Macaca fascicularis: one gene and its partners. The protein of the gene in region 1 interacts with the protein of each later gene in a pairwise test. Links are inferred from orthologs where the notes say so. Each region holds a gene or a part of one and is shown in the gene's direction. Other genes may lie near its edges. The genes, in order: GOLGA2, TPX2, LCP2, PKN1, MYEF2, ZNF410 and NTAQ1.

Region 1 (4,291 bases):
TTTTGTATTTTTAGTAGAGACAGGGTTTCACCATGATGGGGAGGCTGATCTTGAACTCCTGACCTCAAACGATCCGTCTGCCTCCGCCTCCCAAAGTGCTGGGATTACAAGAGTGAGCCACTGTGCCTGGCCCTCACAATCTAACTTGAGAGTGGTGGTAGTGGTAGTGGCAACTCCATCTGGGGGATGAGAGGAGGAGGAGGCTGCGTTTTGGGGGTGGCTTGCCAGAGAAGAGGAGAGACTATTAGCAACTAAAGGAGTGGCCAGGGTGAACACCAAGCATTTTCCTGATTGGGGAGCTGTGGGTTTGTTTAAAGGCAGGGCTGGGTGAGGGGTGAAACGAGAGAGGAGGAGAGATGGCTGGTGCTGAACTGGAGTGAAAGGCATCTGAGGGGCCAGGAGACAGGATGGGGAGGGAGAGGAGTTAGCCTAGGACAGGACAGGATAGCACTTCTTTCAAGAATGGCGGGCCTGAGGAAAGGAAGGGGAGGGATTGAGGAATGACCTGGAGTTTCTCAGTCGGCTAGGAGAAGATATGGAAGAGGGCTAAGCGGGGATTGGCTGCGGTTGGGATGGGGAGGAGGGCCGGGAGCGCACGAGGGAGGGTCGGGGATGGGAAGGGGGGTGTGGGGGAAGAAATACTCACAGGGGATCGGAAGGCCCCGCGGCAACTTCGGGTAAGTCCTGGTTCAGTCCTGGAGAGGAATCCGAGGGGAAAGCCTGATTGGACCCACAGTCCGCTGTGAGGACAGGGGTACTGTGGGGATGCGGGAGGAGGAGCAGCTGGGAAGTAGGAGCGCCTGGGACTGGATCCATCTGGAAAGGGGACAGATATGCTCCCAGGATCAGGGTAGAGACCCTCTAGGAAGGGGGCGTTCTGAGGCGGGGGTTGTCTGAAGCACTGGATGGGAGTCTTTGGAGGTGATTTCTGGAAAGGGAAAGTCTGGGGCAGGGCTGTAAGAAGTCAGGAAAGAAACTGTGGAGTCCGTTCCTCGCCCACCTCCTGAGCCCTGGGGTCCGAGGCCCCCGGATCAGGGGGTTCAGTGGCGCAAGAGGGTCCAGCGCGGGAGTCGGAGAGCGGCCTCTCAGGTGCGCGAGGCAAGGAACACTGACCCGGAGCTTGATGGTCGCACAGCAAGCTGCGCGCGCACCCAAGGAAAGCCGGCCCCGCCCCTCTCCGAAGTGGGCGGGGACAGCGGTTGCGTGCGCAGCTTTTGTTGTGACGCCACAGGTCCCTCTGGCCACGCCGCTGCCTGGCCACGCCTCCTTTCCGCTTTATCTTTTTCATTGACGAATGGGCTTTGATCTTTGAGGCCACGCCCTTATTCTGCGCTCTAGTACCGCCCTGGTTACGCCTCCTCTGGCTCGGTCGCACAGCTGCGCGGTGGCTGACTGACTTCCGCAGTGGTTGCCGGGATCGCGCTGATGTGGCCCCAACCCCGCCTCCCTCCCCGCCCCGCGATGTCGGAAGAAACCCGACAGAGCAAATTGGCCGCAGCGAAGAAAAAGGTAAAGTGCACCGGGTCGCGGCCCCCTGGCCCAGCCCCAGCCCCATTCCGATGGCAGGACCACGGCCAGAGTCCCTGCCACTCCTGAGGCACACCGGGCTGGGCTCCCCCCAGCGCCTCTGGGCTCCCCCGACAAAAGTCTTGTCAGCCAGCCCCGCCCCCTCAGCCGCCCAGCCCCCGCCCTCGCCAGTCGCCCCCGGGTGACTTTGGGCTGGTGACTCCCGGGGCTCCCCGCTCCAGACTTGGCCCTCACCTCCTGCCGCCCCAAACCGGACCTCCCTGGGCGATTTGGGCTCGCGTCTCCAAGGACCTGGGTCCTGGCCCTGCGCTCCCCTCCCCCATCGCAGAGCAGCGACTCGGACGTCGCGCTGATGTTCCCCCCTAGGAGTGGAATGTAGTGACGTCACAGCCCCCCTCGGAACCGTAATTAGTGCGCGAGACCAGTCTTTGATCTTAGGACCCAGTCCCCTAAGTGTTCTCATCCCGCTTCTGGTTCCTCTGGTCACAGCATAAATTTCCAGCTGGAAGGGGATTGGGGACTATGGCACCTAGGAGGGAGAGGTTTCAGGCTGCCTTACACCCTTAACATAGACACTGATAGTGTGAAAAGCCTACACTTCCCCCGTGAGCTCAAAACATTGGCAGTATCTCTGGGTGGCAATGTGAGAACGGGATTGGTTTGATTTTCCCCCAGGCTTCTACTCTCCAGAGAGACTAACATTTTTTTTCTGACTTCCACCTCATATTCGAATTATCCATGGTTCTGGGACCAGAGTGCCCTTCAGTGGTCTCTGGAATGAGATCTGCTTATCTCCTGTGGAACAGGTCTTGGGAAACTGAACTTGACAGCTTGAATCTTCCTCATATCATCTCAGCCTAGGGTACTTGAAATGCCACAGGATAAATATCTTTCTGAAGCATCAGTTTCCCTTTATTCTCTTGAGAAAAAAACATTAATGTACTTAGGGATGACAGTCACATAAATTTCTAAGAGTATACCAGACTTTTCTCTGAAATGAGGCTTGGGTTGTCCTCTTTCTGTTGAATTCCCAGGTTCAACAGAAAGGCTGCCTTTTGCCAGGAGGATACATTGATGTAAGTTTCAGAGGCATTGGTGCATTTCTTACATTAACAAATGTGTGAGGATGTATGACTCTAAACCACACAGTGTACAGTTCCTGCCGACTTAATGTTCCAGCCCACATTTTAAGATACATATTTATTTTGAGAGGCGGAATGTCACTATGTTGCCCAGGCTGGCCTTGAACTCCTGGCCTTAAGTAATCCTCCTGCCTTAGCCTCCTAAGTAGCTGGGACTCCAGGCTTGACTTTTCCACCTCATATTTGAATTCTCCATAGCGGAGTGGAATGTAGTGATGTCGCAATCCCCCTCAGAACCGTAATTAGCGTGTGAAACTGACTTTTGATTTTAGGACCCAGTCCCCTAAGTGTTCTCATCCTGTTTCTGGGATGAGAGGTAGAAAGGTACCTCTGCCTCTGGTTTTGGCCCCTGGCAGCTGCTGATTTGTGGCAAAACCCCAGAGCTTGGAGTCAGAAGACTGAGTTTAAGTTCAATTCTTAAATTTTTTTAAGCCATGGTATCAGTCCCTCTCAGTCACTAAGTGATTGTGACAAGACCTTGTAGACTTGTTGGTGGCGTTAAATCAGATGGTATATATGAGTATTTCGGAAAAATTGTAAAGTAGGATGTAACTGTAGGGGCTTGTAGATCTCATGAGTATTATTGCTCTTCTTTTCCACAGTTGAGAGAATATCAGCAGAGGAACAGCCCTGGTGTTCCTACAGGAGCGAAAAAGAAGAAGAAAATAAAAAATGGCAGTAACCCTGAGACAACCACTTCTGGTGGTTGCCACTCACCTGAGGATGTGAGTCTTGGCTGGCTAGGCTCCTGGGGACAGGGGGCCCAAGGGGCAGTAGAGGGTAATTGTTATGATTGTGGAAGAACTGTTGGGTACTGATTAAGAGTTCTGGGTGTGTATCCTACCTGTCCATCTGCTAGGGATGTGATTTAGGGCAAATCGCTTGAGCTTTTTGGGCCTCTCTCTTCACATCTGTAAAGTATTGTTTTACTTACACTTGTGAAGTTTAAATGAGATTTGTTATTATTGTTGTTTTAATGTTAATCCCTAGTACAGGGCCTGCTGTAAACACCCAGGACACCCAGGAAATGGTAGTTGCTGTTTCATTTTCCTCATCTCCAGTCTCAAGGGGAAGCCAGGCCAATGACAACAGCCACTGGCCATCAGGCTATCCCTTTAGGAGTCATTGAAAGGGCCCCAGGGTGTGGTGAGGAGAGCCCCAGGCACTAGGATTAGGGGAAGATCTAACTTTTGAGTTCATCTTTGCCACCAGCTTGCTGCATGACCACAGAAAAACCACTTCTTCCCCTGGGCCTCAGTTTCCTCCTCTGTAAGATGACATTGGTTAAGATCAGTGTCTCTCAAACTTGTTTTTTAGCTGGAGCCCCCTTCGTTCAAGTGAACCCTTACTCAGAAGTCTGGTTTTTAAAATGGAGGTGGAGGTCTGCAGCTCTGCTAGATTCACTGCCCACATCCTGGGCCTAAGGAGAAGGGTCCAGTGAGCGTATTAAGAGCTGCATTGGTCAGGTGACTCCACTCTGTGTGACTGCATCCTTCAGGGGACTTTTCCATCTATTTGTTTCTGCCCCCGGCAAGGCAGCAGGTGGCCATTTGGAAGGATGGCACAGGCCATGGTATTGATCTCCTCCACTCTTCTTCAGCATTTCGTTTCCCTGAACCCAC
Region 2 (4,228 bases), on another chromosome or scaffold:
ATAGGAACTTTAGAATTAACTTGGCAAATTCCAGAACAGAACCCACTGGGACTTTCATTGGAATTGCCTCGACCTTTTTTGTTTTGTTTTGTTTTGAGAAGAGTCTTGCTCTGTCGCCCAGGCTGGAGTGCAGTGGTGCAATCTTGGCTCACTGCAACCTCCACCTCCCGGGTTCAAGTGATTCTCCTGCCTCAGCCTCCCAAGTAGCTGTGATTACAGGCCCGCGCCAGCACGCCCAGCTAATTTTTGTATTTTTAGTAGAGATGGGGGTTTCAACATTTTGGCCAGGCTGGTCTTGAACTCGTCGCCTCAAATGATCTGCGTATCTCGGCCTCCCAAAGTGCTGGGATTACATGCGTGAGCCACCGCGCCCAGCCTAGAGCTAAAGTTTTGAATCTTTAGCTTTTGCTGGTATTATGAAGGGGGTTGTTTTGTTGTGCTTGTTGCTTCTATTTTCTAATTGATTAAAAAAAATTAAGATGGTGGGGGTGGTCTCGTTATGATATCTACGCTGTTCTGGAACTCTTGGTCTCATAGATCCTTCTGCTTTAGCCTCCTGAGTAGCTGGGATTACAGGTGAGGGCCACGAAGCCTGGCCTCTAATTAATTATCGGTGATGTATAAAAAGAACAGACCTTCTTCATTCGAATCCCGTCTTCTCCATCTATTATATGATTTTGGACATGTTTGTTCAACTTCTCCGAGCCTTTGTTTTCTTTTTACCATATGGGGATCATAAAGCCGGAATGCAGTTGGGAATAAAACCGGATAAAGCACCCAACGAACAAGATCAGGGAAGGGCCTGGGTAAAAGGTTTGAGAAGACACATGCACGGTTGGGAAGGACGCTACGGGCGAGTCTATGTTGCATGCAGGAGACTCCACGTTAAGACGAGTGAACTCCTCTGAACCTTCAAGGGATAATGCACAACCATAACAAGAATAATTTTTAAAAATAAAGTTTTCTTCCCTGAAAGCCTGGGGATGTCCAGGATGCGCGCCATTCTGTGATCTAAGTCGACTTTCCACCTCTTCAGTTGGTACCACCTTTCCCAAAGAGTTTGGAGCAGAGCACTCCGGTCTTCGTAGTAATTTACTCCTAAGGGCTGGTCCAGTGGACTCACGCAGGCGCAGGAGACTACACTTCCCGGGAACTCCCGGCCTCGTTGTTCGCTGGTACCGCCTTCTGACTTCCGGTATTGCTGCTCTCTGTAGGGCCAATCGGGAGCCTGGAATTGCTTTCCTGGAGCTCTGATTGGTGCATTCGACTAGGCTGCCTGGGTTCAAAATTTCAACGATACTGAATGAGTCCCGCGGCGGGTTGGCTGGCGCTTCGTTGTCAGAACTGAGGAGAGGCTAGGTGAGCCGCGGGAAGAAAAGAGGGAGCAGCTGGGGCGCGGGTCTCCCTCCTCCCGGAGTTTGGAATGGCTGAAGTTCACCTTCCAGCTCCTAGCGCAGTTCGCGCGGGTAGGCCTGGCTTCTGAGGCGGTTGCGGTGCTCGGTCGCCGCCTAGGCGGGGCAGGGTGCGAGCGGGGGCTTCGGGCCACCCTTCTCTTGGCGACAGGATTTTGCTCTGAAGTCCGTCCGGGAAACGGGGGAAAAGGAGTTGCGGGAGGCTATCGTCTAATAAAGGTAACGATAATTATTATTACCATGCTAACAGGTTATAAACATTGACTGAACTAAGTACCCTGCGTGCCCGTTCTCATCTAATTTCCTCGCCAAGCCAATGTAGTTGGTGCTATTCTTGGTCCCTCTTGACGGAAACGGAGGAAGGAGGTAGGAGGAGGAAACTGTGGGCCAGAATCTAGATAAATTTCGAGAAATGGGTGATACAGTAGCCCTGCCCTCAGGAAGTGTGGCGTTTGATGGAGGAAAACAGAGGTAGTCACAAATAAGGACATTTCAAAACTGTTATCTAAAACAGAAAGATGATTAGATGGTGTGAGAACATAATTGAGGGAGAGTTTAAGTCCATTTGGAGTTGTCTTCTATTTGGGATTTAAAATTCATTATATGTTATCCATATTTGTCCAGCTCTCTCTTTTTGTATGGAATCACCAGATATTATTCCCTTTCTCATTTCCTTTCTCAACATTTATAGATTGGAGGGGGGAAGGAAAACCAAACCAGGTTATAATATTGTAGAATTGGTTTACCCCCTATTTTCTTGACATATAACGTCTTGTTTTCCACATATAATTTTCTGGTAGTTCAGTAACATGGACTTCCCCAAATCAGGCCTACTTAGGATAGAAAAGGATTTTTGACTCCTAGATTTTGCTTTAAGACCAGCTCTTGGTTTACTCCCTGGTTCACCCTTACCTTTTCTTGACATCCTATGGCCTCTCTTTGAATTTCTCTCACTCATCAAATGTTGTCAAAAATAGGACTATAAGGATGTTCTTGTATTGTGGCCTTAGTGTATTACACCACCCCCACGTCAGACTTAAGTCCGTCCCCCTGGTTGGATGGATGAGTCAGTTCAGTATTAAGCTGGCATTCTTGGATCAAAATTATGTGGCTCTCAGCTAACTCAGCCATTTAGTTGTCCTTTGAGGGTACTGCGTGCTCAGATTGGCATGAGATATGGGTATACAGATGTGTGATGAACTCAAAGGTTTTTTGGTGTGTTTGGGGACAAAAACATGGTTTGAAATTGGCAAGTGAGAATCAGAACAAGACAGGACACCATCTGAGTGCTCTACTGTTTTGTATTCTAAGTGTCCGGACAATTTAGAGGTGAGGGAGATCAAGAGCCAGTTTGTGTTTCTGTGCTTCACAAAGCCACCCTTGCCTAATTCTTGATAAGCAAGAGTTTGGTTAGACAGGGACTGAAACAATCCTGGTACATAGGAATCACCCACTAAATACCTGTTGAATTGACTAGGCAGGAAGGCACTATCTGAATTGACTACAAAATTGCGGGTATGAAAAACTGGATTGTACTCAACTAGGTTGGTAATTTTGTTTAGACTTTCAAATTAGCTGAATAGGGTTTATTTGGCTAACCTTATGCTTAAATCTGTGTATTTCAACCTTGATAAAATTAATTTATTGCAGTTAAGATTGTCCAGGATTATGTGAGAGAGTCCTTCATTTCTTGTTTAGGTACCAGATTTTCAGAGTTCGTCTACATCTGTTGGTTAATTTTCCTTCAGCTTTTTCTGGGTCTCTTCCCTAATTCTTTTTTTTTTTTTTTTTTTTTTTTTGAGACGGAGTCTCGCTGTGTCACCCAGGCTGGAGTGCAGTGGCACGATCTCGGCTCACTGCAAGCTCCGCCTCCCGGGTTTACGCCATTCTCCTGCCTCAGCCTCCGAGTAGCTGGGACTACAGGCGCCTGCCACCACGCCCGGCTAGTTTTTTGTATTTTTTAGTAGAGACGGGGTTTCACCATGTTAGCCAGGATGGTCTCGATCTCCTGACTTCGTGATCCACCCGCCTCGGCCTCCCAAAGTACTGGGATTACAGGCTTGAGCCACCGCGCCCGGCCTATCTTCCCTAATTCTCTTTGAATTCCTGGGAGAAAGAGGAGGGAGAGTTAAATGCCCTTTGACATACTTAATTTTCTTTGCTATGAGTAAAGTTAGGAAGCAAAATTGACTATATATAGAGTTTTTTTTTTGAGATTTCAGCTCACTGCAACTTCTGCCTCCCCTGTTTAAGCAATTTTCCTACCTCAGCCTCTCGAATAGTTGGGATTATAGGGACCTGCCACCTCACCTGGCTAATTTTTGTTTTTTGTTTTTTGTTTTTTTTTTGAGATGGTGTCTCTCTCTGTTGCCTAGGCTGGAGTGCGATGGTGTGGTCTTGGTTCACTGCAACCACTGTCTCCCAGGTTCAAGCAATTCTCCTGCCTCAGCCTCTCAAGTAGCTGGAACTACAGGCACGTGCCACCACACCCGGCTAATTTTTTTGTATGTTTAGTAGAGACGGGGTTTCACTGTGTTAGCCAGGATGGTCTTGATCTCCTGCCTGCCTTGGCCTCCCAAAGTGCTAGGATTACAGGCGTGAGCCACCGCGCCCAGCCTAATTTTTGTATTTTTAGTAGAGATGGGGTTTCACCATGTTGGCCAGGCTGGTCTTGAACTCCTGACCTAAAGTGATCCACCTGACTTGGCCTTCCAAAGTGCTGGGATTATAGGTGTGAGCCACTGCTCCCGGCCTGTTAACCCTTTTTTTACTACAGAGAACTTGGAACCTGTTTCATCACTTTTCTACTTCTTCCA
Region 3 (3,443 bases), on another chromosome or scaffold:
TAACCACAGGTTTAAGTTTTGGCTTTGCCACTGATAGCACATGATTTGCTTAGCCTCTGAGCCTGTATTTCCCCATATGCAAAATGAAGACAATACCTACCTTGTAATGTTGCTGTGAGGATTAAAAAAATGTACACACAGTACCTTACTCAAGATCTGGACAGAGTTGTACTGAATACATATTTGTTGAAGGTATGAATGAATGATGGATGAATAATTAAGAGAACATTCGACTCACAGAATTTTTCTGTCTTTAACCACAGCCTGGCACACAGAAAATACCCTGGGCAACCGCAACAAACACAACTAAACCTTTCCTGAGATTCGGAAACTTTTTCCTAAAGTTTCAAGGAATTGTAAATGAGAAAAAAGAGTTTTAGAGAAGATGAGACATAAGCGCTGGGTAATTAATAGGTGCCCAACACAAACTTCCTGATCTGTAGAGCCTTCTATGTGAGTTGAACAGTTCTACCTGTTCAGTTAGAACAGCAGGTAGCAATATTTGATTCTAAAAGCTAGCAATATTCTCAAGGTAATTTCATCTTCTCTTGGGTCACTTACATTTCTTTTTGTGGAAATATTAAGAACATAATTATCTTCATTACTGCCTGTCCCTACATCAGCTGTTGGGAATCCATTCTGCCTATGCTGAGATTATAAGAATCTATGAAAGATATGTCTCTTGAGCATTCATTTTAATGTTCACACTCATTAAAACAATTGTGAATTTTTTAGTAAAGGGATCTAGTCACTTTATATTATGCAACATGCACATTTAGAAAATCACTCCAAGTTGAGGTTCTCTTCTCAAAGTTTTACTGGCATGATTACAGAATAATGCCTGAGTAGCCTCCATGGTTTCAAACGGAAGAAAATTATTTTTGAAGCCCTGGTTTCTTAAAATGCTAACAGTAGGACCAACCGCAAGGGTATTTTGAGGGGGGGGGGGCGGGAATGTGTTTTGATAGCAGTAAACAATAGCTTACAGTAAATTAACTTTCAGAACTCTGTACTTTTGAAGGCCCTAGCAACAGAGCACCTATCAGAGCCGAAGGCAGAAACTTCCCCTTGCCACTTCCAAACAAACCTCGGCCCCCATCCCCCGCGGAAGAAGAGGTAAGAAAGTATATGTTTTTATTTTTGTTTGTTTGCTTTTTCCCTGGTAAAAGAATCACCAGAAACTCCCACTGAATGTTCTTCTATACTTTTATCTTCCGTTTGTTTTATTTTATTTATTCGAAAAAAAGTTAAAGGAGAAGATCCAGATGAACAATATGTTCTTTTTCCTTGGCATTCTTTCAGACTCTTTCAATGGCAAACGTGTGTTTTGCATTAAATGGCAAGAAAAATAATCCTGTTTTTTATGTTTATGACCTTGATTCATCACTTAACTGCTCGATAAACCAGTTTTTTTATCAAGCAGGTTATTATGCTAAACTGAAGAAATTACTGTATCTGCATCTTTCCTGATTAGAGGTTCCATACTGTAAGGAACACTTATTCACAGGTATTTTTGCAACCAGCGTCATGATAAAAAGCAGTTCACACAAAATGTCTTCTATTTAGCCTCAGCTAAATGACTCTGAATGCAAATTAAGAAAACAAATGTTTCAAACCTCCTGGAATTGAGGTGGTGATTTATGGAAATGATTACTCAGAAGCTTTTCTTTTCACTTACATCTGTAACTGTAAAATTTATTCAGTTTCTAAAAATTTACATTTTCAGAATTCATTAAATGAAGAGTGGTACGTTTCTTATATTACCCGACCAGAGGCAGAAGCTGCTCTTAGAAAGATAAACCAGGTATTGTGCTATAGTTTATTTTAACATAGTTATAAATATTAATGGCAGAGAAGGGAACTGACTTGTCCTGAGTACCCATTACAGGCTAGTAATTCTGCTAAGTGCTGTTGCTAACTGTGATACCTAGGAGACCCATTAGTGCCAGCTTCACAACTATCAGCACCCATAGCAGGGATTCCTAGGCTCGGGAATCATTAGGCTGGCAGAAGAATCTCAAGGCAGTCATTTGGCTGGCAGAATCTTAGGAGATTTGATTAATGAAAGAGTTTGTCTTGTCATACGAATCACACGGTGTCAGAAGGAGGCTCTCCTTCCCCCAAAGTTCCAACATGGTACCAGTTCTATCTTCCTCTTAACACAGATGTGCCATCCTTGTTGATGTGAAAGGACCGATATTAAAGAGACGGCAGCAACTTTTTGCTTTTTGCCCTAGACGTTTCTAGCTAGTCCTTTAATACATAAAGTCTTGAACATATCTCCCGTAGCCAGTGCCGACACTTTACCTTAAATTTATTTATCGGAAATGGGAAAGCAAAACTCTTTCATCTTTCACATCTAAACTCCACACCAGTAGTTCTCAGTAGTAGCTGCACATTTAAATCACCTGGAGAACTTTTGAAAAATCCCGATTCCTGAGTCTCGCCTTAAGATTCTAATTATTCTGGGGTGCTGTGTCAGCTCTGGAGTCTTCAAAACTTCCCAGGTAATTCTGATTTGAAGCCAAGACTGTGAATCACTGATCCAGAAGTATGTTTGTTTAGCAGAGATGTTCTGACAGGCTCAATTAACTTGCAATAAAACGAACAAAGGAAAGCCATTATTGCCAACTCATGGCTATTTAAAGCTATCCTGATTTGGTATGAGGAGAAGGGAGTAGTTTAAAGGAGTCCTTTCCAATTAATTCTATCTTAATATTAGATCTTTATAGCATTAATATTATGTAGCAATAATTTATTGAATGGAAATTTAAAGTACAGGACAATCAAAACAGTAGTTTAGCAAATATCAGAAAAAAAGAAAAGAAAAGAGAACATCTGCATTCAATTTTGTTCAAGTGTCTGATGAAGGAAAGACTATCTAGGGATCACAAGGTTTTAAGAAGGGTGAATTTCACGGCATTTGGGTCTTTTCTGACTTTGGATGTGGAAGAGAAAGGTTAGGGAATTAACTCACAGGAATAGTAGGAAGATATATCTTGAGTTAACCAATAAAGTTTTTTATTTCTCCTGGCCTTTTATCCACTCAACCACCCATTATTTATTAGGGAACAAAAGATTCCATTTTTATAAGAGACTTTAACGAGATTGACTCGGAAATTTCTCTGATACAATCTCTGTTGCCTTTCTTAACAACAAAATAACTCATGACACATGGGATCTGTAGCTGTGTGGAGAACTGAATGTTCGTTGAATGACGGGTTTTGCACTCAAGAAGCTGCAAAGTGCAACTGACATGTTTGTCAGATCCCTGGAGGCTGGTCTACTATTCTTGCAAGCAACAAAAATATTGACTTTTACTCTCCCATAATAACAGGAATTTATCTTTTTAGGATGGCACATTTCTGGTTAGAGACAGCTCTAAAAAAACAATAACCAATCCATATGTCCTCATGGTGTTGTACAAAGATAAAGTTTACAAC
Region 4 (3,697 bases), on another chromosome or scaffold:
CCGGGTAATGGAAATGTTCCTCGTCTTTATCTAGGTCAGAGGTCAGCATGCATTTTCCGGAAAGGGCCAGAGAGTCAATATTTTTGGCTTTGTGGGCTAGACAGTCCCTGTCTGCTTTGTAGTTTGAAAGCAGCCACAGACGATTTGTACACCATAAGCGTGTCTCTATTCCGGTAAAACCTTATTGGTAGTTCACACGGAAGTTTGAACATCGTTGAACTTTCATGGGCAATGAAATATTCTTCCTCTTTTTTTTTTCCCCCAACGATTTAAAAATGTAAAAATCACTTCACCTGTGGTCCCAGCTACTTGGGAGGCCGAGGCAGGAGGATGACTTGAGTCCCGGAGTTGGAGTCCAGCCTCAACAACATGGTGAAACTCCATTTTTTTTTTTTTTGAGATGGAGTCTCACTCTGTTGCCCAGGCTGGAGTGCAGTAGTGTGATCTGGGCTTACTGCAGCCTCCACCTCCTGGGTTCAAGGAATTCTCCTGCCTCAGCCACGCGAGTAGCTGGGACTACAAGTGTGCGCCACCACACCTGGCTAATTTTTGTCTTTTTAATAGAGACGGGGTTTCACCTTGTTGACCAGGCTAGTCTTGAACTCCTGACCTCAGGTGATCTGCCCGCCTCAGCCTCCCAAAGTGCTGGGATTATAGGTGTGAGCCACTGCGTCCAGCCACTGCATCTCTTTAAAAAAAAAAAAGGCCGGGCGCAGTGGCTCAAGCCTGTAATCCCAGCACTTTGGGAGGCCGAGGCGGGCGGATCACAAGGTCAGGAGATCGAGACCACAGTGAAACCCCGTCTCTACTAAAAATACAAAAAAAAAATTAGCCGGGCGCGGTGGCGGGCGCCTGTAGTCCTAGCTACTCAGGAGGCTGAGGCAGGAGAATGGCGTGAACCCAGGAGGCGGAGCTTGCAGTGAGCCAAGATCGCGCCACTGCACTCCAGTCTGGGCAACAGCGTGAGACTCCGTCTCAAAAAAAAAAAAAAAAAAAAAAGTGAAAGCTGGCCGGGCGCGGTGGCTCAAGCCTGTAATCCCAGCACTTTGGGAGGCCGAGACGGGCGGATCACGAGGTCGGGAGATCGAGACCATCCTGGCTAACACGGTGAAACCCCGTCTCTACTAAGAAATACAAAAAAACACTAGCCGGGTGAGGTGGCAGGCGCCTATAGTCCCAGCTACTCGGGAGGCTGAGGCAGGAGAATGGCGTGAACCCGGGCGGCGGAGCTTGCAGTGAGCCGAGATTGCGCCACTGCACTCCAGCCTGGGCGACAAAGCGAGACTGTCTCAAAAAAAAATAAAAAATAAAAAATTTTAAAAAAAATTAAAAAATTAAAAATGGACATTGTCGAGCCAGGCATGATGGGACTTGTAGTCCCAGCTACACGGGAAGCTGAACAATTCTGTAATCCCAGCACTTTGGAGGCTGAGGCGGGTAGATCACCTGAGGTCGGGAGTTCGAGACCACCCTGACCAACATGGAGAAACCCCATCTCTACTAAAAATATAAAAAATTAGCCTGGCTTGGTGGTGCATGCCTGTAATCTCAGCTCTTTGGGAGACTGAGGTAGGAGAATCACTTGAACCCGGGAGGCGGAGGTTGCAGTGAACGGAGATCGTGCCATTGTACTCCAGCCTGGGTAACAAGAATGAAACTCAGTCTCAAAAAAAAAAATTAGCTGGGTGTGGTGGTGCAAGCCTTTAGTCCCACCCCCTACCTTCAGGAGGTGAAGGTAGAGTTGAAGGCTGCACTAAGCTATGACTGTGCCACTGCACTCCATCCTGGGCGACAGAGCAAGACTGTGTCTCTAAAAAAAAACAAAAAAGAAAATTCGGGCTGGGCGTGGTGGCTCACGTCTGTAATCCCAGCACTTTGGGAGGCCGTGGTGGGTGGATCACCTGAGGTCAAGAGTTCCAGACCAGCCTGGCCAACATGGTGAAACCCCATCTCTACTGAAAGTACAAAAATTAGCCGGGCGTGGTGGTGCAGGCGTGTGGCTGGAGGAGAGTGAGTGAGGGGCCGCATGGGAGGAGAGGTGAGGACAGAGAGGTGGGGGGCAGATCTTGCAGGGCCTCAGAGGCTGTTGTGGTTATGAGGGCCTCTCTGACTCCCCTTACTCTGGCCTCTTCTCCGCCACAGAGCTCCCCGATCCAGGAATCCTCCATCACTCCCAAGCTGCCTTCGGAGACCCAGGAGACCCCAGGCCCCGCCCTGTGCAGGTGACACCACTCCCCGGCCCCCTGCCCACCACCCACCCCTGCCTGCTGTCCTTGTCCTCACCAGTGGCCTCTCTCCACAGCCCTCTGAGGAAGTCGCCTCTGACCCTTGAGGATTTCAAGTTCCTGGCGGTGCTGGGCCGGGGTCACTTTGGGAAGGTGAGGTGGAGGGCAGCGGATTGGGAGACCCCCCCCCAGGTCCCTGGCTGGCCACTAAAGCCACCCCTGCCCATTGTGGTTCCAGGTGCTGCTCTCCGAATTCCGGCCCAGTGGGGAGCTGTTCGCCATCAAGGCTCTGAAGAAAGGGGACATTGTGGCCCGAGACGAGGTGGAGAGGTGGGGACCTGCCGTGGTCCTCTGGGGACCTCTGTCTTCTCTTTTGGGAAATGACAGAGCAGTTCTCTCCTTGGAGCTGCAGGGAGAGTGACTCATAGTGGTCACTAATGCCAGGCACGGTGGCTCTCGCCTGTAACCCCAGCACTCTGGGAGGCCGAGGCAGGTGGATCACTTGGGCTCAGAATTTCAAGACCAGGCTGGGCAACATGGCGACACCCCCATCTTTACAAAACATACAAAATAATTAGCTGAGTGTGGTGGTACGTGCTTGTAGCCCCAGCTACTCATGAGGCTGAGATAGGAGGATCACCTGAGCCCAGTAGGTCAAGGTTGCAGTGAGCTGAGATCACACCGCTGCACTCCAGCCTGGGCAACACAGTGAGACCCTGTCTCAGAACAAATAAGTCACTAATACCTACTAGCCTAATACCAAGATAATAATAGTTCTTATAAAAGTTATTCATGGCCGGGCGCGGTGGCTCAAGCCTGTAATCCCAGCACTTTGGGAGGCCGAGACGGGCGGATCACAAGGTCAGGAGATCAAGACCATCCTGGCTAACACGGCGAAACCCCGTCTCTACTAAAAACACAAAAAATTAGCCGGGCGAGGTGGCGGTGCCTGTGGTCCCAGCTACTCGGGAGGCTGAGGCAGGAGAATGGCGTGAACCCGGGAGGCGGAGCTTGCAGTGAGCTGAGATCTGGCCACTGCACTCCAGCCTGGGCGACAGAGCGAGACTCCGTCTCAAAAAAAAAAAAAAAAAAAAAAAAAAGTTATTCGTTTGTTCCTCCATGTTGCCCTATAAGGTAAATACTGATGGCACAGAGAGGTTGAGCAATTTACCCAAGGTCACACAGCCAGTAAGCAGCAGGTCCAGGATTCAAAGCTAGAGACTCAGGTTCTGAAGCCTGTGCCCTTCGTGGTGCAAACATACTGCCTCTGCTTTGGGGACAGGATCCTGGGTTCAAATCTCACATCTGCAGCATGGGCTTGGAGATCCTGGGGAGGTCACTTCTCCCTTCAGAACCTCAGCCTCTTTGCCAGGCACTGTGGCTTACGCCTGTAATCCCAGCACTTTGGGAGGCCGAGGTGCATGGATCACCCGAGGTCAGGACATCGAGACCAGTATGGCCAACATGGTGAA
Region 5 (3,697 bases), on another chromosome or scaffold:
CATCTGTTACTTATGTGTAATTATTGATAACTCCCCTTTTACTCTCAAAAGTGTTCTGTTGTAGTGATGAATTCTTGTGGCCACTTTGTATTTTGATAAATGGTATTGATTTACTTCAGATACCAGTCTCTAGAGTTAGCAATGATATAACTACATAAGGACAGGTTTCTGGTTTTCTTCCTCTTTCCTGAAGCTTCTCTGAGATTCTCCTTGACATCACTGTTTTTACCTTTATTGATTTAAATCTATGCTATCTTTTCCCGTGACTATTTCTGTAGCATATTTGGTGCCATTCTTAGACTTTGAGCTCAAATTGTGGTATTGAATAAATGGCTTTGGCACTGTGGTTGCAAGCAGAATTAGTGGGGCCCTTTGTAGCCTGATAGAAATTAGATTTCTGGTCAGTTGCACTTGTTTGCAGGGGATAAAGGAGTGAAATGAGGATAAAAGGGAAGGAAGAGAGAGAGATTAGGGAGACTGGGCAGTAAGCAACCATTTATTCTAAAAATAATTTTGTATAAATGTGTAAGTTTGTCATAGGGCATGGTGAGTTGGTGGCATTTTGTGCTAGCTTGACTTATTGCTTATACAGTTAACCTCAGGAATTAGGGATTTAACATAAATAAAATACATTAAATCCTAGGAAAATCTTTCCTGATTCCAATTTTGTATATTCTAATATGTATATATTTATTACTTTATATGAATTGTATTTTACTCCAAATATAATGCTTATATTATTTGTTATTTAAAAAAATGATGTTTTTAATCAAATTATCATAATTGGCTATGAGGAATTTCAAACCTATAAAGTGAAATAGAACTCATTTAATAACTGACTAGTAATTCTGTAACTTTTATTTTACAGGTCATGTAATGTTTGCAGAAATAAAAATGGAGAATGGAAAGTCAAAAGGCTGTGGGACAGTCAGATTTGACTCCCCAGAATCAGCAGAAAAAGCCTGCAGAATAATGAATGGCATAAAAATCAGTGGCAGAGAAATTGATGTCCGCTTGGATCGTAATGCATAATTTCAAGCCATGGTTGGAACATTCCTACATCTGTTTTGCTGAATCTCCTAGTAAAGTCATTTTTTTTTAAGTAATATTGTATGCTTACAAAAGCTGTAAAAATGAACTTTTAAAACTCCCACCAGCTTTTAACAGTATAATGTTAAAAATATACTGTAATTTTTGTTAATCTCAAGTTTGGGTTTTTAAAGACAGCAAGTCTGGTCATTCAGTTTAAATGAATGGTTATACTGTTTTTAATGAAATAAGCCATTTTCTTGTTGTTTTCAGTACTACATAGTTGGATTTGTTTGTTCTAGTTTCTCCAGTTTTTGTCAACTTATTGTATGGTAAAACAGATTTTTTGTGCCCCAAAACTTCTGTTTTATAATATGTAATTCTTCATGAAAAGAAAGGGCTCAGAAAAATTAGGATATGATTTTGGTTGGTTTTAAATTACTGTAAGTTTTAGATTCTAAGGTTCAGGATTTAAAAAATTTGATTTAAATGAAGAAATTGATTTTTCTCTCTGCCCCTCCCTGCCATTCATATTTTCTGCATAACACTGTTAATAATATCAACCTCCACAGCCCCTTATTTTATTATTTCCAATAATTCCAAGTTCATATAGAACTGATAATGTAGCAAGTCCCAAGTATGATAATAGGCAGACTATTCCCAACTTTCTGTCTAGTTTCCAGCCATTGAAGTGAACTGCTAAAAAAAGAAAAATAATTGAAACGTTGAGAGAGATGGTTGTGTAAGTTAGTCCTCTGCTGTTTACTTCTATAGGAGCTGATCCATTTATAAATGCAGTTTTAATAAACCATGGAATACCAAGGCACAACATATCAAACACATTGGATCCCACGATGTTAGACATAGCCATATCTCCTTTCCCTACAAAAGAAAAGCATATTGTTAAAATGTGCTTACCAATACTGTATTTTATTAATCTTCATAAGAAAAGAAACACTGGATACTTTTTTGTTGTTGATTCATTTTGGAAAATTGTTAGAGCAAAAGTCTTACTGAATTTGTATTTTTAAATTTTTCTTGGGTTAGTATTTAAAGTCTTAACATTTATTTAATTATATTTATTAAACCATTTTTCAATAAGGTATCTAGCTTACTTGTTGCTTTTCATTGTAATTTAACATGGTCCATTACTATTTAATGCACATTTCAAATGAATATTATTTGGGGGATTAGATTGTGTGAAATTAACCTGCTATTAAATAGTAAACTCTTCCTCTTGAGTCACTTTTTTTTTCCCCTTCAAAGTATGTTACTGAGGAAGTAAACTTTTTTTTTTTTTTTTTTTGAGACTGAGTCTTGCTCTGTTGCCCAGGCTGGAGTGCCGTGGCGCGATCTTGGCTCACTGCAACCTCCACCTCCTGGATTCAAACAATTCTCCTGCCTCAGCCTCCTGAGTAGCTGGGATTACAGGCGCATGCCACCATGCTGGGCTAATTTTTTAATTTTTAATAGAGATGGGGTTTTACCATGTTGGTCAGGCTGGTCTCAAACTCCTGACCTTGTGATCCACCCGCCTCGGCCTCCCAAAGTGTTGGGATTACAGGCGTGAGCCACCACACCCGGCCGGAAGTAAACATTTTTAAAGCTACTTTTACTCATTCTAGCCATGTAGAATGACCATTGCAGCTTAAGGGACTTAGTTCTTACCTTTTCTTGCGACCAACACGCTTGTAATTGTGTCTGGTATGCTTGTTCCTGCTGCTAATAAAGTAAGGCCCATTACTGTATCTGGAATTTCTAGTGTTTCCCCTGTAATAAACAGATACTTCAGGTTACAAATCTTAAAGAGTCACTAACCATCTTTTGCAGTTATTTTGGGTATTTCCTTCCTGAACAAAAATAAAATAGGCAGATTTAGAATTCAGAGCCAATATGTGCTTGCTTAGTTTTTTAGCTAGCAACATATTTGAATCAGGCTGGTAATTTGGGTAACCCAGGTAGCACAGATTTTTAATGACAATCTAAAGATGTATGTAACAGCCAAAATTCTGCCACTGAGAAATTTTCCTGTTTGATATTCTTACGGAAGATGTTTATGTCCACCATTATCTCATCAGGGCTGTGCTGAATATTTGCTAATGAGAGTGATCATTCCTGTTTTTCTTTCTTAAAAAATTTTATTAAATTAGAGTTAAGCAAATTAATTATAGCTATCTTTAAGCTATAAATGTGTTAACATGTATATATATCATTTATTACATTCTACTTTAGTGATATACCTTAATTTAGTGGGCTTTGGCAGGGTGGGGAGGGGGAACATTCATTAATCTCTCAGGAAAACAAAACCTGTTTGTTTTCTACTTGAGTCTAACATATGGTCCCAATTTATTAATACTTCTATTAAATTTGATGTCAGGTCAACATTGATCAGAAATGTATTTATTCTCAGAAACAGAACCAGAGAGAAGTTAAAAAAAGTTAAAACATATGTAACTGTTCTTTTAATGTTGTAATTGAAAACTTGGTTTAGCATCTTTTTTTCTTTTTCTTAAAATGCCAATTAAAATAACTTAATTAGAAAGTAGCTTATTTATTGCATGCTTACATATTGATACTGGAATTGGAATTGGTTAATTTCTATTACTGGCTTTGCTAGAATTCATACGTGCATAAATAACACTAATAGTTATAATCTTGGGGGGCTGTT
Region 6 (3,697 bases), on another chromosome or scaffold:
CTGGGATTACAGGCACGTGCCTGGCTAATTTTTGTATTTTTAGTAGAGACAGGGTTTCACCATGTTGGCCAGGTCTTGAACTCCTGACCTCAAGTGATCTACCTGCCTTGGCCTCCCAAAGTACTAGGATTACAGGCATGAGCCACCACACCTGGCCTGTTATTTTTTATTTTTATTTTTTCTGAATTTTTTTTATCTGCTTGGTTCAATCAGTGGATGTGTATAGCCAACTATATATTCATATATTCATAGTTTTATAGTTTTCTCTACTGTCCAACTCCACAACATTTCATCATCCCAAAAAGGATCCCCATATCCAGGAGATGATTAAAAAAAGAAAAAGAATTCCCATTATAAGTATCATTGCCCATTTCTCTCTTCCTCCAGCCCCTGGCAACCATTAATCTGCTTTCTGTCTCTGGATTGATTTGCCTGTTCTGGACATTTCATGACTTTTTCTTTTTTTTCTTTTTTTTTGAGACGGAGTCTTGCTGTCTCCCAGGCTGGAGTGCAGTGGTGCGATCTTGGCGCACTGCAAGCTCCACCTCCCAAGTTCACGCCATTCTCCTGCGTCAGCCTCCCAAATAGCTGGGGACTACAGGCGCCGGCCACCATGCCCAGCTAATTTTTTGTATTTTTAGTAGAGATGGGGTTTCACCGTGTCAGCCAGGATGGTCTCGATCTCCTGACCTCGTGATCCCCCGACCTTGGCCTCCCAAAGTGCTGGGATTACAGGAGTGAGCCACCGCGCCTGGCCTTTTTTTTTTTTTTTTTTTTTGACGGAGTCTCGCTCCGTGGCTCAGGCTGGAGTGCCGTGGCATGATCTTGGCTCACTGCAACTTCCACCTCCTGGGTTCCAGCAATTCTCCTGCCTCAACCTCCGAAGCAGCTGGGATTACATGCGTCCACCACCACGCCTAGCTAATTTTTGTAGAGATGCGGTTTCACCATGTAGGCCGGGCTGGTCTTGACCTCCTGACCTCAAGTAATCTGCCTGCGCGGCCTCCCAAAGTGCTGGGATTACATGTGTGAACCACTGCGCCTGGCCAAAATAAATTTATTTATTTTATTTATTTTAGATTCAGGGGGTACATGTGCAGGTTTGTTACAAGGGTATATTGCATTTGGGCTACTAATGATCCTGTTGACCAAGCAGTGAACATAATACCCAATAGGTAGTTTTTCAGCCCTTGCCCCATAGCTGCTTTTGGAATCCCCAGTGTTTATTGTTCCCATCTTTGTGTGCATAAGTACCCAGTGTTTAGCTCCCACTTACAACTGAGAACATGTGGTGTTTGATTTTCTGTTTCTATGTTAATTTGCTTAGGATAATGGCCTCCAGCTGCATCCATGTTGCTGCAGAGGACATGATTTTATTCTTTTTTATGGCTGCACAGTATTCCATGGTGTGTATGTGCCACATTTTCCTTATCTGATCTACCACTGATGGGCACCTGGGTTGATTCCATGTCTTTGCTGTTGTGAATAGTGCTGCAGTGAACATGTGAGGGCAGGTGTCTTTTTAGTAGAGCAGTTTATTTTCCTTTGGGTAGATAGTAATGGGATTGCTGGTTCAAATGGTGACTCAGTTTTTAGTTTTAAGGTTTGTAATATTCTACCCTGTTTCTATTGTATAGCTTTTTTTTTTTTTTTTTTGCTATGCAGGACTATTGCAGTATCTATAGCTTTTTAGTCAGTCTCTGTGATGAATATTTACGTTGTTTCCAGTATTTAGCCATTTAAAATAATGTTGCAGTGATGAATAACCTTGTGCATAGAGTATTTCACATTTTGCCACTATAATTTTGGGATATATTCCTAGAAGTGGGATTCCAAGGTCAAAGGGCAAGTGCATCTACAGTTTTTCTAGATGTGGTCAGATTCCCCCAAAGAGGTTTTTGTATTTTGCATTCCCAGCAAAACACAATCAGCAATGAAGATTGCTGTACCATGTGTTTATCAATTGTGAATTTGTTCCTAGCATTTAGAAATTGGGAGATTCTACTTAAAAATCCTTATTTAAAAAAAAAATCAGAACCTGGCTGTGCTAGGCCTTAATCTACCTATGGCAACAGCTGGCTAGAGCTGAATAATAGCTGCCCCTTTTCTAGGTACTCTCTAGGTTACTGTGGCCTCCACTGGGCGATTTTACTTTCGCTACCTATCAGTCCCCTATAGACAGGAGTTTTTGACCTCTGCTCTAAGTATGGTTGTCTGGGTAGGTAGAATGGAGACGGAGAGTCTGGGACTTGAAGACATAGAGGACAATTTAGATTATTATGTTAGAAGAGCCACCAGTGTGAATGTTGACCCTAAAGAGGGTGGCGGGGAATATGTCAAGGGGATATTAGGAACCCAGGATTGGAATCCTTGAGGAAAGCACATATCCTAGAGGTCCATGGACGACTATCTGAAAAAGAAGGCCTATTTTTTGTGGTTGCCATGGTCCTATACCAAAGAGGTTTTGTGAAGGCAGCATTACAGTGAGTCTGGAAAGGACCAGGGGCTGGGAGCAGGGAGTGTGCTAAAGCCCTCCTGGTGTACTCTTCCTGCCTTCCCCCATATGCTGAAGTTTGAGAGGCTGGGAAGGTGGGGAATGGGAAAAGGAGCTGCTGCTTATGTTGAGTTTAACATTCTTTGGGTTTCTCCATCTAGGTCTTGAGTTCATTCTCTTCCTGTCCTTTTGGCTTCCCTGTTTTTTTTTTTTTTTTTTTTTTTGAGACGGAGTCTCGCTCTGTTGCCCAGGCTGGAGTGCAGTGGCCGGATCTCAGCTCACTGCAAGCTCCGCCTCCCAGGTTTATGCCATTCTCCTGCCTCAGCCTCCCGAGTAGCTGGGACTACAGGCGCCCGCCACATCGCCCGGCTAGTTTGGTTTTTTTTTTTTTTTTTTGTATTTCTTAGTAGAGACGGGGTGTCACCGTGTTAGCCAGGATGGTCTCGATCTCCTGACCTCGTGATCCACCCGTCTCGGCCTCCCAAAGTGCTGGGATTACAGGCTTGAGCCACCGCGCCCGGCCGTTGGCTTCCCTGTTTAACCTGGTCCCTGTTTCAGGAGAAAAGCCTCATCAGTGCCAAGTCTGTGGGAAGACCTTCTCTCAGAGTGGAAGCAGGAATGTGCATATGAGAAAGCATCACTTGCAGCTGGGAGCAGCTGGGAGTCAAGAGCAGGAGCAAACTGGTGAGGAGGGTGGGCAGAGTGGAGGGCTATACCTTCTAGGGTTCAAAGAGCCAAATCACTGTCTTGCCTGGTTATCTGGAAATTTTCTGATTCTGTTTTAGGTAGATAGACCTGGTCTCATTTGATGGGCTGATGGTTTCCAAACATAGCTGTACAGTAGAATCATCTGCAACCTTTTAAAATTTGTATACTTTTTGTTGCTTTTCCCCCCACCAATAAAACAAAGCAATCTGATAAATGAGATAATTTGCAAGATCCCAGAATCTGTAGTTTTAAAAGTTCCCCTAGTGATTTTGATGGTAACTAGTGCTGATCCATGAACCAGCATTTGAGTAACACAGTGATAAAAGATTTCTGCATGGCAAGAGTTTAAGCTTTTTTATTTTTTTAGATGGAGTCTCGCTCTGTCACCCACGCTGGAGTGCAGTGGCGCCATCTCGACTCACTGCAACTTCTGCCTCCTGGGTTCAAGCAGTTCGCCTGCCTCAGCCTCCTGAGTAGCTGGGATTATAGGCAGGT
Region 7 (4,483 bases), on another chromosome or scaffold:
ATAGGGCTTCCCACTCTAAAGGAGAAATGTTTAACAGAGTTGCTATATAGCATAGAGGCTATGTGGAAGTTTGTATTAGGAGCTGAGAGGCAATAAAATTGGTAATTGACACAGGAACTGGGCTCAAAGTCTTTAGGATTTATCGGCTTTGGGACTCAAGAGATTGGAAAATCAGACTGTGGATGGCTAAAATCAATGTAAACATCTCAGTTTTTATAATGGGAAGTACCCTGATTAGCGAGTTATCCTCATTGCAAATAGAAACAATTCAGAAGACTGTAAAGTGTAAAGTCCTTGAAACTGAAAGTCCCTGATATTAATACTATTCATTCACCATAGATAAATTCTATTTTTTTTCTTTTTTTGAGACGGAGTCTTGCTCTGTCGACCAGGCTGGAGTGCAATGGCACTATCTTGGCTTACTGCAACCTCCGCCTCCCGGGTTCAAGCGATTCTCCTGCCTCAGCCTCCCGAGTGTCTGGGACTACAGGCGCGCGCCTCCACGCCCAGCTAATTTTTGTATTTTTAGTAGAGACGGAGTTTCACCATTTTGGCCAGGCTGGTCTCGAACTCCTGACCTCGTGATCCACCCGCCTCGGCCTTACCAAGTGCTGGGATTAAAGGCCTGAGCCACGGCGCCCGGCCCTAAATACTATTTTAACAATATGGTGTCTTTTCTTCCAGACTGCCAGTAAATGAACAAACACATGATTAACACAAAAAGGATACCATATGGACTCTTTAAACTTTTTTTTTCAAATTTACTATATCAGGAAATTAATATATCTTTTCGAGCCAATAGATATAGGTCTTCCAATTTAAAAGATTAAGTTACAATAGAGTGAGATTTGGGGTGCTATCCCTTTCGGAAAGCGTCCTCGATGCGGTCATATTGGAATTAACCTCCACTCCCCTCCTCTTCTCTGGGCTCCCGCGGACTCCAGGCTGAGTGCTGAAGTGTGGATTTTCACACCCAAACCTCTGTTATTTCAGTGTCTCACCTGGCTTCTCCACAGCGCAGAAGCTCAGCCCCAAGTTGGAAGAGCCTCCCCGGGAGATTCACAGCGAAGCGCTATTCAGGGCCCAACTCCAAGCCCAAACCTAGCTCCACCCTAAGCCGCCGCCAAAGACCCCTCTTCTCCCAAACCTCACCGGGGCCCCGCCCCTGACTCCGCCCACGAGAGCCCAAGCCTCCAGTCCTGCCCCACCCCGGGCTCCACCCACCAGCCGGGCTCCGCCTACCCGGAAGCACGCAGTCCTCCTCGTCCCGGGCTCCGCCCACCGGGAGCTCTCGCCGCTCACCCCACCCCGGACCCGCCCACTTCGCTTGGGCTCCACCTTCCCAGGAACTGGCGCCGCTTGCCCGAGCTCTGCCCATTTCGTCCCGGGCTTCCCGCGCTGAGAACTCGTGCTGCGAGCCCCGCCCACCGCGCTCCTGGCCCCACCGCCCGGAAACTGTCCCGGCCGCCCCGGGCTCCTCCCACCCCGCCCTGAGAGCCCGCGCGGGCCGCTACACGCCCGCCCTTTCCTACGTGTGGTCCAGTCGGTCTTCCTCCGGCGTCGGCGCTGGCCGAGCTAGCTGGCCATGGAGGGTAATGGCCCCACTGCCGTCCACTACCAGCCGGCCAGTCCCCCGCGGGACGCCTGTGTCTACAGCAGCTGCTACTGGTGAGGGGGCGCGGGCGCAGCCTCTGGGTCTCCCAGGCTCCCGGGCCGCGAGTTGCAACCAGGCCCCGCCTCTTCCCGGCCCCTGCTCGGGGGCGCTCCCGGCCTCTACCGGCGGGTTCTACAGTTCTGCGGGAGTAGGGAGCGGGAATGGCAGCTCTTGTCTCTTGAGTAGAGCGTGGGCTGTTGGATGGGGTTGGGAATTCGTCCGGAATCCTAGGGTCGATAGTGCATTACCTGTGCCTGGCGCTTGTCGGTTGGATTTGCTCAGCAGATCTCTGCTTCGGGGCTAGGAAGGGTGGAGCTCTGAAAACCTTTGGAAGTTACTCTGCTGAAGCATGTGGGGTTTCAGACTGAGGCGAAGGTCATTTTAATTTTGGAAGAGAATGGAAGCACAGAGAGTTTGGGATAACTTCCCAAGGTCACCCAGCTAATAGCAGCCAGGAATCCAGTTCGGGCTCTCTGGCACCAGAAACCATGATCTTAACCATGTTGTCATTATAATAATGGTTACATTCACACAGCACTTGCTATATGCCACGCGTTGTTCTGGGTGGTTTAGGTAAACTAAATCACTGAGTATCACAATAACCCTAAGAGGTAGGTATTGTTATCCCCAGTTTAAAGATGAGAGCACTGAAGCACAGAGGGCTGCAAGTAATTTGCGCAGGGCCACATCACTTGTGAATGAAGGAGTGGGGATTTACAGGCAGAGTCTGGCCCCGGAGTCCATGCTCTGCACCCCTGTCCTAGGCCACCTCTGCAGCTGAAGCACCGCCCCTGCCTTGGTCCTTTTTCATTCCCATGCCTACTCTTTCCTGAGTAATGGTTTCTCCCCCAGCTTCTAGTCCTTGCACAGGAACCCTCAGTGCTATCTAAAACTACCCTTCCCCCTTCTGCTTGTCACTAAATCAATGCCACCGAGCATTTGTTCGGCCCTGATTGCATGTCAGGCTCAGTGGCAGGTGCTTCCATCGATGTCCATGAGTAGCTTCTTTTACTATCGTTATCCTCATTTTACTAATAAAAAGAGTGAGCCACAGAGAGGCTGTTGTGTGCCCCCAAATCACACATCTAGCAAGTGGTGGTGCTGAAACTGGAACATCTTCGTGATTTTGAAGTTCATGCATCTTAACTGCTGCACTCTTTTTCTGTCCTGCCTCTTCTAAATCCCGTTAGTTCTCCTCCCTAATGTCCATTGTTTTATTCATTCATTCAATAAATGTGTATTAGGCACTTGGAGTATGTGGCCCACTTCTGGGCACTGGAGATACAGCAGTGAACAAGATCGACAAATTCACTCATGGATCCCTTGGTTCTTGTGTTTTGATGAGAGAAAAGCAGATAAGGTCCGGTGCGATGGCTCACGCCTGTAATTCCAGCACTTTGGGAGGCTGAGGTGGGCGGATCACTTGAGGCCAGGAGTTTGAGACCAGGCTGGCCAACATGCAGAAAGGCTGCCTCTACTAAAAATACAAAAATTAGCCAGGTGTGGTGGCACACGCCTGTAATCCCAGCTACTCGGGAAGCTGAGGCAGGAGAATCGCTTGAACCCGGGAGGAGGAGATTCCTGTGAGCCGATGCCACTGCACTCCAGCCTGGGAAACAGAGCGAGATTCCATCTCAAAAAAAAAGGCAGACAAAAACAAGTAAACCATGTTTGGGTGGTGTTAAGTGCTGTGAGAAAAATAAGATAAAGGATGGTGGCTTATTTTCTATTAGGATATTTTGAGAAGACATTGTTGATAAGGTGATATTTGAACAGAGATCTGAAAAAAGAGGGTGAGAGCTTTGCATCTATTGGAGGATGGTCATTTAAGCAGGGAGAACAGCAGGTACAAAGGCTCTGAGAAGGAATTGTGCTGTATGATAGAAACAGTGAGGAGACTGGTACAATTGGAGTATCAGAGTTAGAGCAGTCTTGTAGAAGAATGGTAAGAGTTGACCACTCTACCGCAGGATTTCTCCGCCTAGGTTCGAGTTGACATTTTGAGCATGATAATTCTTTGCTATGGGGGCTGTCCTGTGTATTGCAGGACATGTAGCAGCGTCCCTGGCCTCTACCCACTAGATGCTGTTAGCACCCTAGCTCTAGTTGTGACAACCAAAAATGTCTCCAGACATTGCTAAGTGTCCTGTAGGGCTTGGGGGGCAAAATCGCCTTTTGCTGAGAAACAGTGCTCTACCCTGTCTGAACATGTCAGGTGGGGGCACTGCACTACTTTGGCTCCTGCAGCTTTGTGGGGTTTTTTTATTTTTGAGACGGAGTCTCAGTCTATCACCCAGGCTGGAGTGCAGTGGTGCCATCTCGGCTCACTGCAACCTCTGCCTCCCAGGCTCAAGCCATTCTCCTGCCTCAGCCTCCCGAGTAGCTGGGACTACAGGCACCCACCACCATGCCCGGCTCATTTTTGTATTTTTAGTAGAGATGAGGTTTCACCACAGTGGCCGGGCTGGTCTCAAACTCCTGACCTCAGGTGATCCACCCGCCTCGGCCTCCCAAAGTTCTGGGATTACAGGCATGAGTCACCATGCCTGGCCATCCTGCAGGTTTTTAAACTTGAAATGAGTGCCTCCTGTCTACTTCTGTTAGCTTCTGTCATGTTAGCTTCCAGATGTTACTTATGCTTCAAGACCCTGCTTAATGATAATAGTGGCAGTTGGTATTTGTTTGGGACTGTGTCGTCGGCAGAGCATTTCTGATTCTGACTTGTTTTGTGTTTTTCAAACAATTGTGGAGTGCCTGCTTTGTGCCAGGGATCCCCGCCATCTGCATGCATCTGTGACCTCAGCTCATCTCTGGGAACCCCTGCAACAT

The links.
Region 2: the proteins of GOLGA2 (region 1) and TPX2 interact in binary tests that used the Homo sapiens proteins (3 or more experiments, as listed by UniProt). The two-hybrid records come from large-scale screens. The link is inferred for Macaca fascicularis from reciprocal best matches to the Homo sapiens genes GOLGA2 and TPX2.
Region 3: the proteins of GOLGA2 (region 1) and LCP2 interact in binary tests that used the Homo sapiens proteins (3 or more experiments, as listed by UniProt). The two-hybrid records come from large-scale screens. The link is inferred for Macaca fascicularis from reciprocal best matches to the Homo sapiens genes GOLGA2 and LCP2.
Region 4: the proteins of GOLGA2 (region 1) and PKN1 interact in binary tests that used the Homo sapiens proteins (3 or more experiments, as listed by UniProt). The two-hybrid records come from large-scale screens. The link is inferred for Macaca fascicularis from reciprocal best matches to the Homo sapiens genes GOLGA2 and PKN1.
Region 5: the proteins of GOLGA2 (region 1) and MYEF2 interact in binary tests that used the Homo sapiens proteins (3 or more experiments, as listed by UniProt). The two-hybrid records come from large-scale screens. The link is inferred for Macaca fascicularis from reciprocal best matches to the Homo sapiens genes GOLGA2 and MYEF2.
Region 6: the proteins of GOLGA2 (region 1) and ZNF410 interact in binary tests that used the Homo sapiens proteins (3 or more experiments, as listed by UniProt). The two-hybrid records come from large-scale screens. The link is inferred for Macaca fascicularis from reciprocal best matches to the Homo sapiens genes GOLGA2 and ZNF410.
Region 7: the proteins of GOLGA2 (region 1) and NTAQ1 interact in binary tests that used the Homo sapiens proteins (3 or more experiments, as listed by UniProt). The two-hybrid records come from large-scale screens. The link is inferred for Macaca fascicularis from reciprocal best matches to the Homo sapiens genes GOLGA2 and NTAQ1.

What each region holds. Positions count from the first base shown.
Region 1 is NC_088389.1:15,704,883-15,709,173, forward strand, and holds the start of GOLGA2 (golgin subfamily A member 2), read left to right. Parts: upstream 1-1,461; coding exon 1,462-1,509; intron 1,510-3,271; coding exon 3,272-3,394; intron 3,395-4,291. UniProt on the Homo sapiens protein: Peripheral membrane component of the cis-Golgi stack that acts as a membrane skeleton that maintains the structure of the Golgi apparatus, and as a vesicle thether that facilitates vesicle fusion to the Golgi membrane.
Region 2 is NC_088384.1:87,827,462-87,831,689, forward strand, and holds the start of TPX2 (targeting protein for Xklp2), read left to right. Parts: upstream 1-1,301; 5' UTR 1,302-1,359; exon of another isoform or gene 1,360-1,631; intron 1,632-1,662; exon of another isoform or gene 1,663-1,778; intron 1,779-3,763; 5' UTR 3,764-3,885; intron 3,886-4,228. UniProt on the Homo sapiens protein: Spindle assembly factor required for normal assembly of mitotic spindles. Required for normal assembly of microtubules during apoptosis. Required for chromatin and/or kinetochore dependent microtubule nucleation.
Region 3 is NC_088380.1:177,056,714-177,060,156, reverse strand, and holds part of LCP2 (lymphocyte cytosolic protein 2), read left to right. Parts: intron 1-1,021; coding exon 1,022-1,116; intron 1,117-1,726; coding exon 1,727-1,804; intron 1,805-3,353; coding exon 3,354-3,443. UniProt on the Homo sapiens protein: Adapter protein primarily involved in signaling pathways within T-cells, as well as other immune cells such as platelets, mast cells, and natural killer (NK) cells.
Region 4 is NC_088393.1:14,900,137-14,903,833, forward strand, and holds part of PKN1 (serine/threonine-protein kinase N1), read left to right. Parts: intron 1-2,142; coding exon 2,143-2,222; intron 2,223-2,302; coding exon 2,303-2,378; intron 2,379-2,463; coding exon 2,464-2,555; intron 2,556-3,697. UniProt on the Homo sapiens protein: PKC-related serine/threonine-protein kinase involved in various processes such as regulation of the intermediate filaments of the actin cytoskeleton, cell migration, tumor cell invasion and transcription regulation.
Region 5 is NC_088381.1:24,644,985-24,648,681, reverse strand, and holds part of MYEF2 (myelin expression factor 2), read left to right. Parts: exon of another isoform or gene 1-868; coding exon 869-1,032; 3' UTR 1,033-1,588; coding exon of another isoform or gene 1,589-1,911; 3' UTR 1,912-2,697; coding exon of another isoform or gene 2,698-2,799; 3' UTR 2,800-3,697. Other genes in the region: SLC24A5 (sodium/potassium/calcium exchanger 5), read right to left, coding at 1,589-1,911, 2,698-2,799. UniProt on the Homo sapiens protein: Transcriptional repressor of the myelin basic protein gene (MBP). Binds to the proximal MB1 element 5'-TTGTCC-3' of the MBP promoter. Its binding to MB1 and function are inhibited by PURA.
Region 6 is NC_088381.1:141,855,196-141,858,892, forward strand, and holds part of ZNF410 (zinc finger protein 410), read left to right. Parts: exon of another isoform or gene 1-304; intron 305-2,655; exon of another isoform or gene 2,656-3,052; coding exon 3,053-3,178; intron 3,179-3,697. UniProt on the Homo sapiens protein: Transcription factor that binds to the sequence motif 5'-CATCCCATAATA-3', and is specifically required to silence expression of fetal hemoglobin in adult erythroid cells.
Region 7 is NC_088382.1:133,061,006-133,065,488, forward strand, and holds the start of NTAQ1 (protein N-terminal glutamine amidohydrolase), read left to right. Parts: upstream 1-1,541; 5' UTR 1,542-1,585; coding exon 1,586-1,668; intron 1,669-4,483. UniProt on the Homo sapiens protein: Mediates the side-chain deamidation of N-terminal glutamine residues to glutamate, an important step in N-end rule pathway of protein degradation.